2 linked regions of the Canis lupus familiaris genome follow. The protein of the gene in region 2 interacts with the protein of the main gene of each other region in a pairwise test. Links are inferred from orthologs where the notes say so. Each region holds a gene or a part of one and is shown on either strand. Other genes may lie near its edges.

Region 1 (3,562 bases), on a different chromosome or scaffold from region 2:
CTCCCCCCAAGACCCCACCCATGCCCCTCAACCCCCCCACAGCCCCTACGCCCCACCCCCCCCACCCCGGACCCTGAACTCTTCACACCTGCGGCGGAAGTGGCGGGTGGGGGACCGGGAGGAGGAACGGGAGCGGGAGTCCGTGCTGGAGGAAGAGCTGTTGTCCTTCATGAAGACATTGCGGTTGCCAAACTTGGCGAAGCTGCTGCCCCGGGCTCGGCCAGCACCCCCAGCCCCTGGTGTCCCTCGCTGGGACTGGGCACCCCCGCCCCTTGTCGCTGAGCCTGCCCCCCTGGGAGGATGAAGGCTGCTAGGGGCCTCCCACCGCTTCTTCTTGGGGCTCTCAGCCACAGGCTCCCGAGTCAGCCTGAGGATATAGCAGGGCAGGGCATCACCAATCCAGCGCCTCCACCAACCCCAGCATCTGCCAGCCGCCCCAGGAACACACCACCTCAGGCAGGAAAGAAACTTACCCAGGCGACTCAGCTAACACACTGCAAAAATGGGAGGCAAACCCAAGATTTTCTCTGTCTAGAGAGTGTTCTTCGCTGCTGAGTACCATGCACTCGCCAGGCTTCAGGGCCTTCACCCCACCCCAGGATTCCACCACCAGGCAGTGCCTGGGCCTCAGCTCTACCCTCCTGGCCTTCTACCCCTGGGAGCCAACTTTCTTGCTCATTCTTGGGGCTTCAGATACCTAAGTCTGCAGGTCTCCGCTTCAGCACCCAGAATCGCCCTCCTCCCCATCCCTGGCCTAGACTAACCCTGGCAGGGGCTCCCGGCTCCAGTCAATGGTATAAGCTGAGCCGTCCTGCAGCCGAGCCTGCAGCAGCTCCTTGAGTAGCTTCTCTGTCCGGTCCTTGTCCTCCTCCGACTCACAGGCAGTAAAACAGCGCTCCACATACTCCTTCATGTCCTGTGGCCAATCATCAGGCTTCCCCGACAGGCTCCCCCTGGGTGAAGGCAGACGTGGGACTCAGCTGGGCGGCACCCCACACCCCAGCAAAGATGGTTGTCACTACCACTCACAAAGCAGACACAAACCCAAAACAATGCGAGCATCATCTTCTTCCCCTCTCATTTCATGCTCACAGCAACCCTAAAAGAGGAACCCCTCCCCATCTTGGAGGGGCAGACTGAGGCTCAGAGGGGTGCACAACCTGCCAGTGGACTATACGCACAGCAGAAGGAGAGAGCTGGGACAGGATCAAGGGGGTGGCCATCACCTGTGGTTCTGGGCTTTCTCAGGGTTGGGCTGGGGGCCGAAGCTGCTGTGCTGGCCCTCCGAGGTGGAGCTGAAGCTCTGACTGGTGACAGCAAAGGGCCGTTTCTGAATGTTGAACTTGAGACCACCAGTCCCCGGGGCTGCTGTGAGGGCCGCAAGAGCTGGGGTTAGACCTTACCGTGGCCTTCCTCAGGTTGCCTGATCTCCAGGAATGGGAGACGCCAAGCTCTAGAGAAGGGCTCCAAACCAACTGCATCCAGAGCCAGGGAATGAGCACCACACCCAGAAGTGCCCCACGCTTGGCTCTGTAAGGTGCAGCCCCTATGCCCTCTCTCTCCCCAAATTCCACCTCCAACTTACGCTTCATCCGGTTCCACAACTGTTGGCCCTTCTTGGGCTTGGCAGGCTCAGAGTAGGCATGTGGCCCATAGGCCTGGCCTGAGGCAGGCCCTGCCTGGCTGTGCTGTGTGGCTGGGGCTGTTCCAGGCTGGGGGCCACTGTTCAGAGCATGAGCCCCATGCGGGGGGTTGGAGGGCTGAGGGGGCTGGGCTGCTGGCAGCTGCTGAGGGGGGGCCTGGTAGGACATGCTTTCTTCCATGCCAGGGACTGGGGGCTGTTGGAGGAAGCAGGTGCTGAGGGCAGGAGCAGAGCTTCCAGTGCTGGCTCTCACACTGTCCTCATGATCACAGCACCACTCAGCCCTCAACTCCGTCCTGTGACCCTCCCACATCTCACTGCCCCAAGCACTGTCTCCCTGAGGAACGGAGGTTTAGTGCCCACCCTCTTCAGAGCTGAGAAGGCTCCAGCTTAGATCCTGAGATGTTCTCCCACAGTCCCCAGCCACTCAGTGGCAGCAGTAGGCATCTAAACCTCAGTTAGGCAACTAGTGAGCGCTCTAGTGAGTGCTGCCAACACACCCAGGAGTTATTGTCTGAACACATGCTGTATGCCGGTCAAAACACACATATGGTCACCCACGTTCTAGGGGACCCTGTGAAGAAGTGGTTATCCTTCCCACTTGACAGGACTGGCTGAGACGCAGAGAGGGTATGAGACTTGTAATGACACCAAGGGAGGGGAGCTGGGACTCTGGCCCAGGTCACTCCACCTCCCCTGCACAGCTCTGCACTACTCCACGCTGCACGTTAAGTGCAAGGCCAGACAATGTGCATGACTATGCATGTCTGTGTGCACTGCACTGAGAGAAGATTCCCAAGATAGGCTGCCACACTGCAAACCGCAGCTACCATCAACCCCAACACCTACTCCCAGGCCTTGCCCAAGCCCTAAACCCATCCTGGTTTCATTTTTTTAAGTTTATTTATTTATTCATGAGAGACAAGGAGAGAGGCAGAGTCACAGGCAGACTGGTGAAGAAGCAGAAGGAGAAGCAGGCTCCTGTAGGGAGCCCGATGTGGGACTCGATCCCGGGACCCCGGGACCACGACCTGAGCCGAAGTCAGACGCTCAACCACTGAGCCACCCAGGTGCCCCCATCCTGGTTTCAAAAACTATAGTTTGCCCTCCTCAGTTATCAGATCGGTAGTCACCAGGCAGGAGACTACCCAGAGGCAGCCATTGTAACAAATACAGGGGTCCCCACCATTCACCCACTCAGAAAAACTACATTCCCCATCTTGAACATGCCACAAAGCTGGTGGGGGTGTTACCTGGCTCAGAGTCCCCTGGTGCTGGGGTGCTGATGGTTGCTGGGGTGCGGTGGAGCCATACGAGCTGGCCATGCCATATTGGGAAGGGGAACCATAGCTCTGGTACATGCTCTGCCAGAGGCACAGAAATGAGGATCAGGACAGGCCCAGCTCCCTCCCCTTCTCCCGCCCTCTCAGGTGCCAGACATAACCTCTGTGCTCCACACTCTTACCCCTATCTTTCTCCACTACATAAATCCTTCTTATGAGAAAAACAACAAAAAACTCTATCAATCCCATTCTCCATTTAAGAAATATTTACCGAATGCCAACTTTCCTAAACGCTACAACAGAACCAAAAATAAACAGTAAAAATCCACCCTCTCATGAAGTCTGCGCTCAAAACACGTGCACAGTTGCAGATGGATACACAGAGTATCTGGCAGCAAGCACTGTGAAAGCAAGAAGGAGTGGGGTGCAACCCTGCTTTAACTTATCCAGTCAGAGAAAGGTCTAACCTGGGAAGCACCCCCACCACCACCACGACGGTGAGAACACGGAGAGGTGTGGGAAAAGGGAATGAGAGCTGACACAGAGCACAGGTGGACGTCATGGGTAACAGACTAAGCATGGGGAGAGGAAGTGGCCAGAGCAGAGAAGGTGGGACCTAGAAAGGGCCTTCAACTTG
Region 2 (4,344 bases):
GGCGGCGGCGGCGGCCCCGACCCCCCCGGAGGGCGGCCCCCATCCCCCTTCCCCCACCGGGCCCCGATCGCCCGCCTGCCCCCGGAGCAGACCCGACCCCGCTCTGGCTCAGCCCCTCCCCGGGCCCGCCGCCCGCCCGCTCCCCCGCTCCCCCCGCCCGCCCCCGCCGCCCGGAATGCCCGGGCCGCGCCGCCCGCCCCCGCCGCCCTCCCCGCGGCCCCGGCCGGCCCTCCCCCTCCGCGCCGCTCCGCCCGCCGCCCGCCGCCCGCCGCCGCCCGCCCCGCGCAGCCCGCACTCGCGCGCTCCCCGGCCCCCCGGGCGGCCTCCGCCCGCGGCCCCCGCCCCTTCCCGGGCGGCCGTGCCCCCGCCTCGCCCCCTCCTCGCCCCCTCCTCGCGGCCGGCGGTGCCCCCCGAACGGGTCCCGGCCGGAGGCCCCGGCCCGACGCGGGGCTGCGGGCGGGCTGGGCGGCGCGTCCGGCGACTCGCACAGGAAAGCGGACGGCGGAGGGAGGGCGCTCGGGAGAGGGGGATGGGAGAAGAAGGAAGAGGGAGAAGGAGGGAGCGCGAGGCACGGAGGAGAGGGGCCGGGAGGGAGACGCGAGGGAGGGAGCGCGAGGCAAGCCGCGAGGGGGGGGCGGCGGGGGAGCCGGAGGGGGCGGCGCCGCGCCACTTGGCCGAGGCCGGCCGCGGGGGTTGGGGCGCGGGGAGGGTTCGCCGAGGCCGGCGGCGGGGAGCGGGAGGGCGGGGGAGGGGCCGTGGGCTGTGCCGGCGGAGGCGGCGCGGACTGGAGAAGTTTGGGGGCCGAGGGGGCCGAGGGGGCCGAGGGGGCCGAGGCACGGAGGACGTGGGCGGCTGTGGGTGTGCGGCTGGGATTGGCCTGTCGGGGTACGCGGAGGCTTTGGGGGCGGGGAGGCGCGGGACGGGAGGGGCGGCTGGAGCTGGGGGTGACAGCGCCTGTGGCCGACCTGTAGCGGGAGACGCGGGCTGAAGCTTAGGGTCACGGGGAGGGGGAGAAATTGAAAAGATGGAGATCTACATATATCCTATATCTATAGTCCCATATCCTATACTATATAGATACATATATCCTATATCTAGTATCTATCTGTATATACGGATGGGGTTTCTGCATGAGAGTAGTTTGGACGCGATTGGTGTCGGGAAAAGAATAGGGAACACAAGAACGGGGCGGGGGCGGTGATGCTGGAAGGCTGAGGAGAGTTCAGAGGGGTCAGCACGGAGAGAAGGGGAGAGGTGAGGAACTTTTAGAAGCCATGAAGGAGGTGGGGCCGGAGACTTATTCTAGGGAGGCCTGAGTGCTGGGTGGGAAAGCTGCGGGGAAGACACTGGCTGGACTTCTGGGGTGGTGGGGGTGGGGGTTTCCGAGGAGGATTTCGGTTGGCTAGACAAAGGTAGATAGAATGGGGTGGGGGCCAAGGGGGAAGTAGGTAAAGAAGATTAGAAGGAAATGGAAGATAAACAAGGCCATGGAGGGAGGTCAGAGATTGGGAAGACAAAGAGTGGAGATGGGAAGGGAAAGCAGTAGAAGGAAACCATAGAAGCAGGGGAGGGCAAGCCCCCATGTAGGGAAGGGATTCGTTTATAGGAGTGGGACACTATCTTCAGGCCCTTCTGTCTGGTGGTGTCTCAATTTTCCTTCTCAGACCTGTTTGAAGTCACCACAGACAGTACTCTGAGCCACAGATAAGGGGCCCAGTGGGGATTAGGCTCAAGGTAGAGCCAAATCTCCTAGATGTCCTGGTTCCTGGTTCCCCAATCCCAGTTGTTCTACTGTGGAGACAATCCCCACCCTACCCCCAGACCACAGGTTCTTCCTTCAACCCTCCTCACTCTCCAGGCAGCCTAACTGTCAGCCAGCCAGCCATTTCCAGTCTTCAGCCTGAAGCCAGCACCCCATCCCAGTGTCTTCTTCTGGGATGTCTCCCTGGCCCCACACCCTGCAGCAACATCTCCCAGGACAAAGGACACCAAGACGCTGGGTGATTTTTGGCAGCTAAGATTGGGAAGGCCAGAGAATAGGAGGGAGCAGGCTGGGAAACTGGAAGAGCTGGAGCTGGAGCCTGGATTGGGAGCTCTTACCAGCTCTCCAGATTTGGGGTGGGAAGAGGGCAAATGCCAGAGCCCAGCCAACCAGAGGCCAAGGATGGATGGGCCCTGGATGGCAGGATCCCACCATCCTTCTGGAAAGGATGGAGATTGGATTTGTAGCAACTCAGTGGATTTTGCCTCATATTTCCTTGGGCCAGACTCAGCTGAGTTCTGGGAATACCCAAAAGCTCTGAATAGATTCTAAAGTACTGACGAACCTGAGCAAGGTGGCCACCTTGGCCCAGCAATGAATCACCACTCTTCATCGCTGCTGAATTGGTGGGCAACTCACTTTTCTAGCCCAGCTTCACCTTCTTGATCCCTCAGTGCCTTCCAGAGACCTGGCCAGCTCCTTATCTCCCCTCCATGGGATTCCCGCCCTCCCTTCCTCAGCGCCCTAGGATGACCCCTGCTCCCTCTCTCCACCCCACAACAACTTTGTTCCAAGACTCCTCCTCTTCCTCCTCATTCCCCATCGCATTTCCTCTCCTTCCTCACATCTCAGCTCATTCTCCCACTGGGCCTGGGCCCAGGCCCTTCCCAGCTCCCTTGTAGGCCAAGCTGCTCTCTCTTGCTTTTTAACCACCGAGGGATGGGCTAAGGATGGTGACATACCTGAGCCTAAAAGAAAAATTTGAGGCAAAGGTAGGAACAGAAGATAGGGAGAGTCAGAGAAGCCAGGGCCTATCCTCTCTGATTCTTCCCCAGCCTGAGGACTAGGCTTACCATTCAGCTTTGGGGTGCATCATCACATACACACACCCCACACCATCCCTCACCCCAGCTCTCTTTATGGCCTCAGCCCCCCACAACTCACTGGTCTCCAGGCAACAGCACAAAGGGAAAGTGGAGAGAGGGGCCAGGGAGGCCCAGATGGAGCTACTGTAACCCAATCCAACCCAGTACCTGGGGGAGAGGGGGGAGGCATGGCTACCAGAGGAGGCCACCTAGCAAGGAGTGGGGGGAAAGGGCAGAGGTTAGTAAATACGGCTCCAATCACAATCGGCTTGATCAGTCCAGGAATTGGAGGAGAAAGATGGGTATCACGGACCCCAGAGAAAACGGAGAGGCACAGAGAAAAGCATGCCCCAAAGGGAACAGAAAGGGGCGCCAGGAGACCGGAGGGAAGAGAAAGATGAGTTGCCCACCCTGAAATTAAGAGGCATAGAGGAGCAGAGGCAAGAAGCTCTCTGAACTGAAAATGGCTGAGGTGTCAGTGACACAGGAAGAAGAGCAGAGACATGGGTCCTGCCCATTCAGGACGAAAATCCTCTCCTTGTCCTGGAGCTGGGCAGGATGGCAGAGAGCCCAGGACCAGAACTCAGAGTAGAAACAGTTTAGGAGGCCCACAGAGGGGACAACCTTGAAATTCCTCCCATCACACCCCTAGCTCGGGCTGAGTGTGGCGTCCCACGGAACCTTGCCTCCCTCTAGTGGCCACAGCTCCCTGTGTGTAGCCCTTGCCTGCTGGGTTCTGCTCCGTGTCCCAGCCCCAGGAGAGGGTTTCTCCTCCTGGGGAGTTCCTGGGTCCCTGTGCCAAAGTCAGGGCTCCCCTGGAGCTGAAGAGTGATAGTGGATCTCCAGCCACACACTGGGGTCCTGCTCAAAGGCCACCCCAACACTTGTGGCTTTGACTCTCCAGTTTCCTGAAGATTCCATTTCCTCAGACCCTCCTTTGTAGCCCCAGGTACCACTCCCCTCCCTGGGTCCCCATCTTGCAGGGGGTGATGCCCACACAGTGCTCTTACCCAGAATGACCAAGACTGCATTGGGGAGAGGCCTAGATGGGAGCTTTTCCAGTACACAGCTTTATCCCCTCTTTGGTCATGGCCCTCTAGGAACCTGAGAATAGTTTGCACCCCTTTTCCTAAAAAATGCACACACACATTTTTGACACTTCTAGGAAATCTCGGTGGAGAACTTTTGGTTCACCCCGGTCCCAGGGCCAGGCTTGATGCTGAGAAGGCAGGAGGGCAACAAGGGTCCCCACCTGGCCAGGGAGGGGAGGCAGTGCCATCGTCTTAGCCATACTTGTTCAGTTTCTTCCTCTTTTTGGGTCCTCCCCAGCTCTGCTATCCGAGTTCACCAACTTTCGGGTGTGGGCGCTCCATCTTCTCTCCCCGAATATGACTAGAGTAAGACTCTTCAGACACAACAACGCACTGTGATTCAGACTTTAATGGTGGTGCTCATTCCCACGCCACAGATGTGGTGGCGACTGTGGAACATGGCACA

What was found.
Region 1: the proteins of ATN1 (region 2) and LENG8 interact in a two-hybrid assay, tested with the Homo sapiens proteins (2 studies listed by BioGRID and IntAct). The link is inferred for Canis lupus familiaris from reciprocal best matches to the Homo sapiens genes ATN1 and LENG8.

The regions. Positions count from the first base shown.
Region 1 is NC_049222.1:103,607,504-103,611,065, forward strand, and holds part of LENG8 (leukocyte receptor cluster member 8), read right to left. Parts: intron 3,007-3,562; coding exon 2,896-3,006; intron 1,839-2,895; coding exon 1,586-1,838; intron 1,369-1,585; coding exon 1,227-1,368; intron 954-1,226; coding exon 765-953; intron 495-764; coding exon 474-494; intron 368-473; coding exon 89-367; intron 1-88.
Region 2 is NC_049248.1:7,975,031-7,979,374, reverse strand, and holds the start of ATN1 (atrophin-1), read right to left. Parts: upstream 2,830-4,344; 5' UTR 2,725-2,829; intron 2,376-2,724; exon of another isoform or gene 2,328-2,375; intron 36-2,327; exon of another isoform or gene 1-35. Other genes in the region: ENO2 (gamma-enolase), read right to left, coding at 4,299-4,344. UniProt on the Homo sapiens protein: Transcriptional corepressor. Recruits NR2E1 to repress transcription. Promotes vascular smooth cell (VSMC) migration and orientation. Corepressor of MTG8 transcriptional repression.